Mus musculus: one gene and its partners. The protein of the gene in region 1 purifies or fractionates together with the protein of each later gene. This does not show direct contact. Links are inferred from orthologs where the notes say so. Each region holds a gene or a part of one and is shown on either strand. Other genes may lie near its edges.

What was found.
Region 2: the proteins of Timeless (region 1) and Tipin purify together in Homo sapiens (affinity purification with western blotting; 6 studies listed by BioGRID and IntAct, counting the BioPlex papers as one, with this or other methods). This does not show direct contact. The link is inferred for Mus musculus from reciprocal best matches to the Homo sapiens genes TIMELESS and TIPIN.
Region 3: the proteins of Timeless (region 1) and Clspn purify together in Homo sapiens (affinity purification with western blotting; 4 studies listed by BioGRID). This does not show direct contact. The link is inferred for Mus musculus from reciprocal best matches to the Homo sapiens genes TIMELESS and CLSPN.

Annotation. Positions count from the first base shown.
Region 1 is NC_000076.6:128,238,514-128,242,161, reverse strand, and holds part of Timeless (protein timeless homolog), read right to left. Parts: exon of another isoform or gene 2,704-3,648; intron 2,329-2,703; coding exon of another isoform or gene 2,262-2,328; coding exon 2,165-2,261; intron 2,025-2,164; coding exon 1,871-2,024; intron 1,783-1,870; coding exon 1,668-1,782; intron 1,573-1,667; coding exon 1,510-1,572; intron 888-1,509; coding exon 786-887; intron 579-785; coding exon 423-578; intron 1-422. UniProt on the Homo sapiens protein: Plays an important role in the control of DNA replication, maintenance of replication fork stability, maintenance of genome stability throughout normal DNA replication, DNA repair and in the regulation of the circadian clock.
Region 2 is NC_000075.6:64,288,018-64,291,665, forward strand, and holds part of Tipin (TIMELESS-interacting protein), read left to right. Parts: intron 1-90; 5' UTR 91-96; coding exon 97-226; intron 227-1,692; coding exon 1,693-1,765; intron 1,766-2,356; coding exon 2,357-2,432; intron 2,433-3,648.
Region 3 is NC_000070.6:126,555,696-126,559,800, forward strand, and holds the start of Clspn (claspin), read left to right. Parts: upstream 1-1,284; 5' UTR 1,285-1,418; coding exon 1,419-1,442; intron 1,443-3,512; coding exon 3,513-3,621; intron 3,622-4,105.

The DNA of each region.
Region 1 (3,648 bases):
TATAGTTGCTGGGAATTGAACTCAGGACCTCTGCTCGCTCCAGCCCGGCTTGCTTCAGCCCAAAGATTTATTTATATAGGTAACTACACTGTTGCTGTCTTCAGACACACTAGAAGAGGGTGTCAGATCTCATTTCAGATGGTTATGAACCACCATGTAGTTGTGGGATTTGAACTCAGGACCTTAGGAAGAGCAGTCAGTGCTCTTAACTGCTGAGCCATCTCTCCAGCCCCCAGGACAAGTTCGCTCCTACTCGGAAGGGAAAACACAAACACTGAGAGCTATTCATGGGCCTTGGATAGAACACAGCCAGGGCACGCATCACCTTCCTCGGGTAATCCCCCATCCCCACCAGGGCTCCTCGGGCCACACGGCGGAAGCACATGGCGGGGAGTAGAGGACTAGTATAAGTAAGGCCCCACCTGGTCTCGGAACATGAGGGAGATGATCTCCAGCACATGGAGGCTCCACTGCTGCTCGGCGGATGAGCTGGACAGGAAGAGGAGCAAGTCGTCCATGCCACTGAGGTGAATTGCCCAAAGGAGACGGTCGTGGATGCTGGCATCATCATCGATACTCTGAGCAGGTGGGGGGTGGGGGTGGGGGGACATGACAACAATACAAACACACACACTCAGCTCCACTCAGGACAGCCTCCAGAGTCCCCAGCAGCTCACTCTGTGGCTAAGGCTAGCCCCCAGACTCGTAGAAGACAGAAAAGCCTAAGAGAGGGGAGTTCACCCTAACCAGTGCAAGAACTCCGATGTTCCCCAAACCCTCTTCACCTTCTCCTGCTCAAGGTTGGCCGGGACATGGAGAATATTTCTGACCAGCAGAAGGATCCGCTCGATCAGCAAGTTGTCTTCTTCTTGCCGATCCTCCCAGCCCTGGGCAAAAGGAGAAAAGACTGGCTCTAAGACTGAGCCCTGAGAATTGGGACTAAAAAGAAGGAAAAGGTATGGAGAGATGGCTTAGTGGTTTAACAATGCTCTCAACGCAATCGTGATGACTAGGAGTTCAGACCCCAGCACACACTCAATAATCCAGGAAACATCCAGAAAAACATCTGTCATTGTTTATGGCTTCTATGTGCACATGAACACACACACACACACATACCCCATTAGATAAATTTCTAAAAATACAAACTAGAAATAAAGAGCAGGCATGGTGGCACAGTTCTTTAATCCCAGCTCTCGGGAGGTGGGGGGCGGGGGGAGGCCAAGGGGGGGATGGGACAGGACCACCTCTTAGTTCCAGTCCAGCAAAATAAGAGTGGCTAGAAGCCAGGCGGTAGTGGCTCGAGTTTTTAATCCCAGCACCTGGGAGGCAGAGGCAGGCGGATTTCTGAGTTTGAGGCCAGCCTGGTCTACAGAGTGAGTTCCAGGACAGCCTTGGCTACACAGAACCTGTATCTCTAAGGGCTGAGGACCTTCCCAGGTTCAGCAGAGGTAGCGGAGGTGAAGTACTAACTGGCACATGGGATGTGTGTGATGCAGACTCACTCACCAGCTGTAGCAATTCATACAAGGTCTCGCTGAGGACTCCAAATGCCTTCTCACTGGCAAAGGCCTGTGGGACAGGGAACAGTCTCGTAGGTAGCGCCTACCTTGTCTTTCCTTCCTCTCCAAACACCAACCCAGGACCTCTGCAGAAAGGCTTCTCACCTCTTTGTAGGCTTGCAGGTACGTTAGAACCTGCAGAAAATGGTGCCGTACACTGGAGTCCTTAGGCACGCTGCCAAAACAGAGCAAGGCTGGCTGTGTCAAATTTACCATCAGCCTGGGGAGACAACGAAGACAGAGTGGTCAGGTTTCCTTGACAACTCGGACGCCGCCCGAGATAAGAGTCGAAAGGCTGAGGAGTGAACCTGATCACGGCATCGAAGAGAGGCTTGTCCTGGCGATGCTGCGTGAGGATTGGCAGGAGGTCGCTCTGCAGGATCTGTGCAGCTCCCAGCTGCTGCCGCACATCTCGGGTCTCATCCTCGTGCCTCAGGTATCGGATCAAATCCTTCACACTCTCTTTAGAGGACAGGATAAAACACTTACCCAGAAGGAGCTGCCTAGCCCCATGAGTTGTTTGTACCCACGGCCAGGGAAACTCACCAGACCAATTTGGTGAAGTTTTTTTTTTCCTTCCGATTCCTCAAAAGATTACTCACCCAGGCAATCCGGCTCCTTGTGGTAAGTCCCTCCTTCCAAGTACCCAAGGGCGCTACACGTGGCTAGAAGTTCACAGTTCATCATGTACAAGTCCATACACCAGAGGCCCAACCAGCAGAGCGGGCAGTAGAGATGGTGGACGGAGAGGGTGAGGCCTACGGGACTAGGAAGAGGGATGTCCGTGGTAAGGAAAATGAACAAGCTGGGCTTGCACTCAGGACCCTTAATGGCTTCGCTTCTGTCTGAGCTAAAAGTGCTGCTCCCAGGCCGGGGAAAACATTTTTTTTTTTAATATATAAACTAATCAAACCCAGGGAGGCTCCTGTGCACAGTGGGCACGTGCTCTACCCGAGCTACATCTGCTAGCCCCAGGGAAAGCTTTTTGTTAAGGCTGCTTTCTAGTTGACTAGAAAGCAGAGAAACTCCAGTTTAGGAATTAAGGCCTGGGCCACACTACAGCCAGATCCTGAAACCAGAGAAACATGGTTCAGAGTTAAGACAACCCGGTAGGAAGCCAGATCAATGCTGAGATGTTCACCTTGGACACTCTGCAGCCTTGGGAGGGTTAGACTGAATCCTCCATCTTCTACAGCTTCCTCATACAGCCCTAGTCTGGATATACCACAGGAGTTAGGAGTCACAGCTTTGGGCTGGCGAGATAGCTCAATGGTAAGGAAGGAAGCTTGCCATTGAGGCTGATAACCTGAGTACCACAGAACCCACTTGGTAGAAGTAGAGAACCAACCCCCGCAAGTTGTCCTGACTGCAAATGTTCCACTCCCTCCGAAAGATTTATAAATGTAAGAGCTGGGGGTCCAGAGGTATAAATGTGTGCTTGTCTCTCTCCTCTCCCTCCCTCTCCCTCTGTGTGTGTGTGTGTGTGTGTGTGTGAAGGCCAGAGGTCAATCTGATATCATTCCTCAGACACCCCCACCTCATTTTAAAACAATAGCTCTCAGGGGCTGGAGAGATGGCTCAGTGGTTAAAAGCACTGACTGTTCTTCCAAAGGCCCTGAGTTTGAATCCCAGCAACCACATGGTGGCTCACAACCATCTGTAATGGGATCCAATGCCCTCTTCTGGTGTGTCTGAAGACAGCTACAGTGTACTTATTTATAATAATAAATAAATCTTTGGGCAGGAGTGAGCAGGATTGAGCGAGCAGAATTTAAACTGTAAATTCAGTTCTCAACAACCAGATGAAGGTTCACAACCATCTGTACAGCTACACAGTGTACTCATAGAAATAAAATAAGTAAATAAATCTTAAAAAGAAAAAAAAAAAGAAAGAAATCTTTGAGAAAAACAAAAAACCCAACAAAACAATAGCTCTCACTGGGACTGGGGTGTGGGACTTGCTGATCAGTGAGCCCTAGGAATCTTCCTGTCTCTGCCTCCTCAGCAATGGAATTACAGCCACAAACCACAAGCCTGGTTGTTCTATGAGTGCTGGGGCTTGAACCCAGGTCACTGCTTGTACTTT
Region 2 (3,648 bases), on another chromosome or scaffold:
TTGTAACATGGCTTTCACTGTTGGATGGAACTAGATTATGTGATAGGAAGACTGGCTGGTTAAAAATAACTTTCTTTTTTTCTCCTGGAGGAAAAGATGTTAGAGCAAGAAGAAAATGGCTTGTTTGAAATACCAGATTATGAACATGTAGAGGATGAAACTTTTCCTCCCTTCCCACCTCCGGCCTCGCCAGAGAGAGATCCTGCAGACGCTGAACCTGAGGAAGGTCTGTATCAAGAATGTCACAAAAGTATCCTTTCATTTGGTTGTTGTTTTGTTTTGTTTTGTTTTGAGCAAGATTTCTCCATATAGTTCAGTCTGTCCTGTAGACTCTGGAGATCCAACTGCCTCTGCTTCCCAAGTTCTAGGATTAAAGGTATGAGCCACCAAGCTTAGTTGTTGTTTTTTTTATTATTTTTATTTATTTTTTAAGGTTTGTTTGTTGGTTTGTCTATTTTATGAGTGCACTGTAGCTGTCTTTAACACACCAGAAGAGGGTATCAGATCCCATTACAGATGGTTGTGAGCCACCATGTGGTTGCTGGGAATTGAACTCAGGACCTCTGGAAGAGCAGTCACTGCTCTTAACTGCTGAGCCATTTTTCCAGCCCTGTTTTATTTATTTATTTAAAAATTTTTTAGAAGATATATTTATTATTATATGTAAGTACACTGTAGCAGTCTTCAGACACACCAGAAGAGGGCGTCAGATCTCATTACAGGTGGTTATGAGCCACCATGTGGTTGCTGGGAATTGAACTCAGGACCTCAGGAAGAACAGTCAGTGCTCTTAACTACTGAGCCATTTCTTCAGCTCCCTGTTGTTTTATTTTTATGTATGTGAGTACACTGTCACTGTCTTTAGACACACCAGGAGAGGACTTCACATCCCATTATTGATGGTTGTGAGCCACCATGTGGGTGCTGGGAATTGAACTAAGGGCCTCTGGAAGAGCTCTTAACCACTAAGCCATCTCACCTGCCCTGTATATTAGTTTTTACGACAAAGAGCGTGTTGACGCATACCTTTAATCCCAGCACTCGGGAGGCAGAGGCAGGCGGATTTCTGAGTTTGAGGCCAGCCTGGTCTAGAAAGTGAGTTTCAGGACAGCCAGGACTACATAGAGAAACCCTGTCTCGTAAAACCAAAAAAAAGATAAGAGCTCACAGTGTCTCCCAGGCTAGCCTTGCTCTGACAGTCCTGCTGTACCTGCTGAAATGTCCCACATAGTTCTGTGTCAGATTAGCCTAGAAATGGTACATTTTGCAAATGATTAAAAAAAAAAAAAACTGACTGGGTGGTGGTGGCACATTCCTTTCTTCAATCCCAGCACTTGGGAGGCAGAGGCAGGAGGATCTCAGTGAACTTGAGGCTAGCCTGGTCTGTAGAGCAAGTTACAGGACAGCCAGGGCTACACAAAGAAACCCTGTCTTAAAAAACAAACAAACAAAAATAACTATATTTATGTATTTGTGTTTATCTGAATATATGTGGGCACACAGGTGCTACAGTGTGTGCATATGGAGATCAGAGGATGATTTTTTCTTTTTTTGGTTTTTCGAGGCAGGGTTTCTCTGTATAGCCCTAGCTGTCCTGGAATTGACTCTGTAGACCAGGCTGGCCTTGAATTCAGAAATCAACTTGGCTCCACAGGACAATTTTTAAGTACTAAATTTTGGTCTGTTTACTAGGATCAGGGAGTGGAGTACCTGTTCCGCCAAAGAGAACAGTTAAAAGGAATCTACCTAAGCTAGATGCTACGAGGTATGGGCATTTACTTTGATACATTTATAGATTTCTACACAGTGTTTTTCTTTTACTATCACGGTCTTTGGTGGGTGATTTAGAGTTCAGATAGAGTTCTGTAAAGATTTTTTTCTCCTTTAAACTTTTTCTTTTCTTCTTCTTTTTAATGATTGTATTTATTTATTTTATGTATGTGAGTACACTGTTTCCAGACACACCAAAAGAGAGCATCAGATCCCATTACAGGTGGTTGTGAGCCACCATGTGTTTGCTGGGACTTGAACTCAGGACCTTTGCTCTTAACTGCTGAGCCATCTTTCCAGCCACATAAGATTTATTTATTTATTTTATGTATACGAGTACACCATTCATCTCTTCAGACACACCAGAAGAGGGCATCAGATCCCATTACAGGTGATTGTGCCACTGAGTGTCAGCCACTGTGTGGTTGCTGGGAATTGAACTCAGGACCTCTGGAAGAGCAGTTAGTACTCTTAACCATTGAGCCATCTCTCCAGCCCCTTGTCTTTTCTAATTCAGGAGGAAATATTTTTTTTTCATGGTCTTGGTTTTAATATGGCTAGAAATTCAAAATGTTTCTCTTCACAGATTGACTTCAGAGAGAGGGCTTCCAGCCTTAAGGCATGTGTTTGATAAGACGAAATTCAAGGGGAAGGGTCATGAGGTAAGAAATGCTTGATTGATCTTTATTTTTTAGCAGTGGGCATCGATTGAATCCAGGGCAAGTGCTAGAACCCATGCTAAACAGTATTACTGGAGTACATCCCATCCTGGTTTATTTTAGACTTTTATTTATTCAAAAAAATTTTGAGACAAAGTAGCACTATGCAACTCTGGCTAGCTGTGTCTTAATAAAAGTGCCATATATTTAATTGCTTAGTCCTCAGGGAGTAGCAATATTAGAAAGGATTAGAAGGTTTGGGGAGGTGTGGCCTTGTTAGAAGAAGTGTTTCACTGGGGTGGGGCTTTGAGGTTTCTTAAATGATTTCTTTGGTAAGAGTTACCTTTACCTTGGTCATGATTTCTCTTCACAGCAGTAGAACAGTGACCAATATTCTAGCCCTGAGCTCACAGAGATCTGCCTTTGTCTGCTTCCCAAGTGGTAGGATTAAAGATTTGTATCATCACACCTGTCTTATTTAGAGCTTTTCTTTTTTGTTTTTGCATGTGTTACATATGTAACAGATGTGCAGCTTGGTTTTCATGTGGGTCCCAAACAGCTGGAGCAGGGGCTATCCCAAAAGCTGTTGCCTGTACATATAATATGTTCTTCTAGCTGGACTGCTTTTTCTGGCCTCAGTGGGAAAGGAAGCTCGTAGCTTTGTAGAGACTTGAAGTGCTAGGATGTGGGGATACCTATGGGGCCTCAGAGGAGAAGGAGGAGAGGAGGGGTAGAGGAAGGTTGTGGAAGGGGATGAACAGGAAGGGGCAAGTGAGTGGGATGTAAAGTGAATAAGTAAAAAAATAAATTAAAAACAGGAAAGTGAGATTTTAAAAAAAACCCAGTGAAACTGGGTTGATTATGTTCTTTAGAATCTCTAAGAATGCCGGGCGGTGGTAACGCACGCCTTTAATCCCAGCACTTGGGAGGCAGAGGCAGGCAGATTTCTGAGTTCAAGGCCAGCCTGGTCTACAGAGTGAGTTCCAGGACAGAGAAACCCTGTCTCAAAAAAACAAAAAACAAAAAAAAGAATCTCTGAGTATATTACAGAATGAAAAAAAATATATACACATTTTATATATATATATGTGTGTGTGTGTGTGTGTGTGTGTGTATATATACATATACACATACACACTGAATATATAAGCTGTTAATCATCACCTCTAGAGAAATAGCTTCAGTGAAATAGAAAGGGTACTTGGAAGAATTAAGAGAA
Region 3 (4,105 bases), on another chromosome or scaffold:
TCGGTGAGCCTGGAAATCATAAAGAGCAGGTGACAGTGGACGCGAGACGATCACATTACTTCCCTTACACGCTTCCTCCAAAGATTAAGAGAATGATGATTATAAAATTCTGCCCATTGTTTGTCACAAACTGTATGGCCAATAAAAGTCAGTCCTCCAAATGCTGGAGGAAGTGCTACAGATAGATGCATATTTGTGAATCATTGATGTATACGGTCATAGTAAAATAGCCTTTTTTTTTTTAAAAAGGGGGTAAAATATGAGGATGGGACTCTTTTTTGTATTTTTTGGAAGCCTGGAGATTATACCAGGGAGGGCCTCATGCAAACTAACTAAGCAAGAGCTCTACTACTGAGCTGCATCCCCAGCTCAAGACCCTTAGGGGTGTAGAAGTGGGCGGAGATGTGGAGAAATGGAGTTGTTTTTTATCTGAATGTGTATTCAGATAAAGGGGAGACCAGTGTCAGAGGTGACTGTCATCCCTCGTATCCTCTGAGGAGATTCTAGGGATGTGAGGTTTTCCGTGCTAAACCTGGGAAAGTCCTAAGCAAACTGGACAGAGTTGGTCACCATACCAGAATAGGTGAAGGGGGGTGGGGGGAGTTAGAGAGGAGGGGGGTTTGGGTGGGATGGAGGATAATAAATACTCAGATCTTTCTTTCCCTGTGCCAGCTGGTCTCTTTATAATAACTTTGTAAGGAGTTTTAACACTGGCTTGACCATTCAGAAGACAAAAGACAAGTCAGCTGGGACAATACAGTCCAGAAAGGACATTCTTGCCTGCCTATAGAACATGGGGAAGAAAGGACAGAGAATCGACCCGAAGAGGTAAAAACATTAACTCTGCAGGTTAGGATTGCTCCAGGGATGAACTGATGGAGAAAGCCTCCACTGGGGTCTAAGGTTCCCTCAGCAAAAAATTCAGGTGTGGGACACTCCCAGAATCCTGGGAACTTCTTCCCAGTTCACTTCCTGCATTGAAATTTCTCTCCTCTAATTGCATACGGTACGACCCATCGAACGAAGACATAGGTCAAAAGTCCAAGAACATCATTCGCAAGATACCTTCTTTCTAAGCCATAGCGCGGGATCTCTTCGCTCCCCGAGAACCCCCAGACACCCCAAAGCCACTCCTAGATCTGTTTGACAAGAGCAGCCGCAACCCGCCAAACCAACGCAAATTACATTTGCCGGGCAGGCAGGAGGCGCCTCCTGATTGGCAGGGCGATAGGGGTGGGGCCTCGGAGGGAAACCCTCCCTCGGATTGGTGCAAACCCTCAAGGTTGAGCGTTGTACCGCGTCTGGGCGCGAAAGCTCGAACTTCGCTGCCGAGCTGGAGACGGCGGGAGCTGTCGCCGTCAAGTTGAGGTTACTGCAGACACGTTCTCCTGGAGCTGTGCGGAAGGGAGGCCGGAATCATGACCGGCGAGGTGGGTTCTGAGGTGAGTTTAGGCTCTGGTCCGGGCTGTGGAGGCCTTTCGCTGAGGGCCGAGTGGGACAGTCAACCCAGCAGGGCCAGAGCGCCGAGCCGGGAGGACTACAATTCCCGGCGTGCACCGCTCCGAGACCACTGGACTGAGTCTGGGGGCCTCTGGAGGGTCTCCATCTGGCTTCCCGCGCTCAGTCCCCACAGCTTCTGGTTCGGCGGCGCGCGCTGTTGTCCGCCCAGCCGGGTCCTCAGCTTGTCACTGCAGCCCGCCTTGCTCTTTGGCGCGTTTCCTGCCGCGCAAGCTCCCTTTACAGCATCCCCACAAAAAAAAAAAAAAAAAAAAAAAAAAAAAAGGCCTTGGCCAGCCTGGCCTGGAAGTTGTGGGGTGGGAGTCTCTGTAAGCACAGGGTGAGGGGTATAAGCAGTTGGAACTCTGGTTCTGGAAGGAACTTGTAAGGGTGTCGCGCGTGGGCCCACAGTCTTTGCCTACAGTGGCCTGGCTCACAGCGTCCTTCCAGTAGCTGGTGACTCACTAGTGGAATTTGGCCATAGAAAACCTTTTCCGTGATCTGTGTTCTTTTCTGGAGCCAGGACTAGGGCCAAATAGTTGCCTTAAGAACAGATTTAATGGGGGTACCAGAAAAACCTAATCACCAAAGGAAAGCCTTTTTGTTGTTGTTGTTGTTGTTGTTGTTTTTTTTTTTTTTTTTTTTTTGAGACAGGGTTTCTCTGTGTAGCCCTGGCCGCCCTGGAACTCACTCTGTAGACCAGGCTGGTCTCGAACTCAGAAATCCTCCTGCCTCTGCCGAGTGCTGGGATTAAAGGCGTGCGCCCCCACGCCTGGCTATGAAAGCCTTATTTTGACATGAAGTTTTCACGATTAGATATTGAACAAAATAACAGACTTTAATCAAGATCTCGTTGTGCACCAACCTGTCTTTTTGCCTCACTAGGATTTTTTTAAAAAGCCTTAATTTAAATAACATTATTTTCAAAAGGTGGCTGACTTCATAAGCCACACTTTTGCTGACTCTTACTAGAAAGAGAGAAAGAAAGAAAGAAAGAAAGAAAGAAAACAAACATAAAAGTAGGAGACAAAGACAGGGAGGCAAAGTTAGAAGAATGGTATGTGAGCACAATTATGACATGAGTGAGTGTGTGTGTGTGTGTGTGTGACTATCACAGTGGGATCTGAAGGATGGCTCATAAATAAAGACATTTGTTTTGAAGCCTGACAGCGTGACTTCTATCCCCAGGACTCACCTAGTAGAAGAGATTAGATTTTTGCAAGTTGTCCTCTGTCTTCCTTCGGTGCTCTATAGCACACCACTCCCTCTCTAAATGTGCCTACACACACATGCAAAATAATGAAAAGGGGGGCTAGAGTGGTGGCTCATCTGGTAAGAGCACTTGCTGCTCCTCCAGAGGACCTGGATTTGGTTCCTGTCACCCACAACCATCTGTAATTCCAGTTCCAGAGAATCCAGTGTCCTCTTCTGACTTTCATGAGTATCAGGTTTGCACTCAGTGCCCTTACATACATACAGGGAAAATACTCCTACACATAAACAAAGTAAATCTTTTTAAAAAAAAATTTAAAAGGGACTGGAGAGATGGCTCAGTGGTTAAGAGCCCTTGCTGTTCTTGCAGAGAATCCTAGTTCAATTCCCAGTGTCCACATCATGACTGTAACTACGGCTCTAGGGTGTCTCATGAACATTTTGACCTCTACAGGCACTTCATGAATATGGTGCACAGACATATATGCAGATGAAACACTTATAAAATTAATACATCTTCTTTTCAATTGAAAAAACCCGAAAAACCAAGCGAATCTGATTTGTGCAATCGATGTGTTTAATAAAAGTAAATGGAGCTGTTCAGTTAGTATCCTGTAGCAATTAGTCTCGGTTTGTGTGTGTTTGGTTTTGGTTTTGGTCTGTGACTTTAAATGTCATCTGTGTGTTACACTGTCCCGTTTTGGTTCTTCCCAGTTGCAGCTGATGTCCCCACACTGTGTGTCCCCATATATACTCAGCTCTGTCTCCTCCTTGTTAATGCTAGGTTTATTCTCATTCTCTAGGTTAACCTGGAAGTCAACGATCTAAAACTTCTTTCACAAGAAGCAGCAGACAGTCCTGTAGACAGTGGACAGGGCAGCTTTGAAACACTCGAGCCCTTGAGTGAAAGAGGTTTGTAATATATGTTATGTTAATTTTAGGAATAGAATGTGGGGTCCTGGGTTGTGAGTGATTTCAGTTAATCTCATTATTTTCTTGACTTATCGAATTAAATTGTTAGTGCCCCAACTTTATTATTTATTTTCTTTATAATAAATAAAAAAATAGCAGTGCTTACATATATTTTTAAAGAACATCCATTCCTGTTATATAACAGGAATAAGTAATATGTTATTTTTTTATTTTTTATTTTTTTTTAGTTAAAAATAGATAAAATGTCTAATAGTTACTTCATTGCCTGGCTAAATGCATTCACTATAGAACAGGATTTCTAACACCTGCCAGGATGATTAGAACAACTCTACACATTATAAATGTATAAATGTATATAATTACATTTCTTAGCAAGAGAGGTTTTGCCACAGAAATTTCTTTTAAATATATTTTTAGATATGCTTTGCTTCAATGAGTTCTTACTGGCAGTTGTGTAATCCCA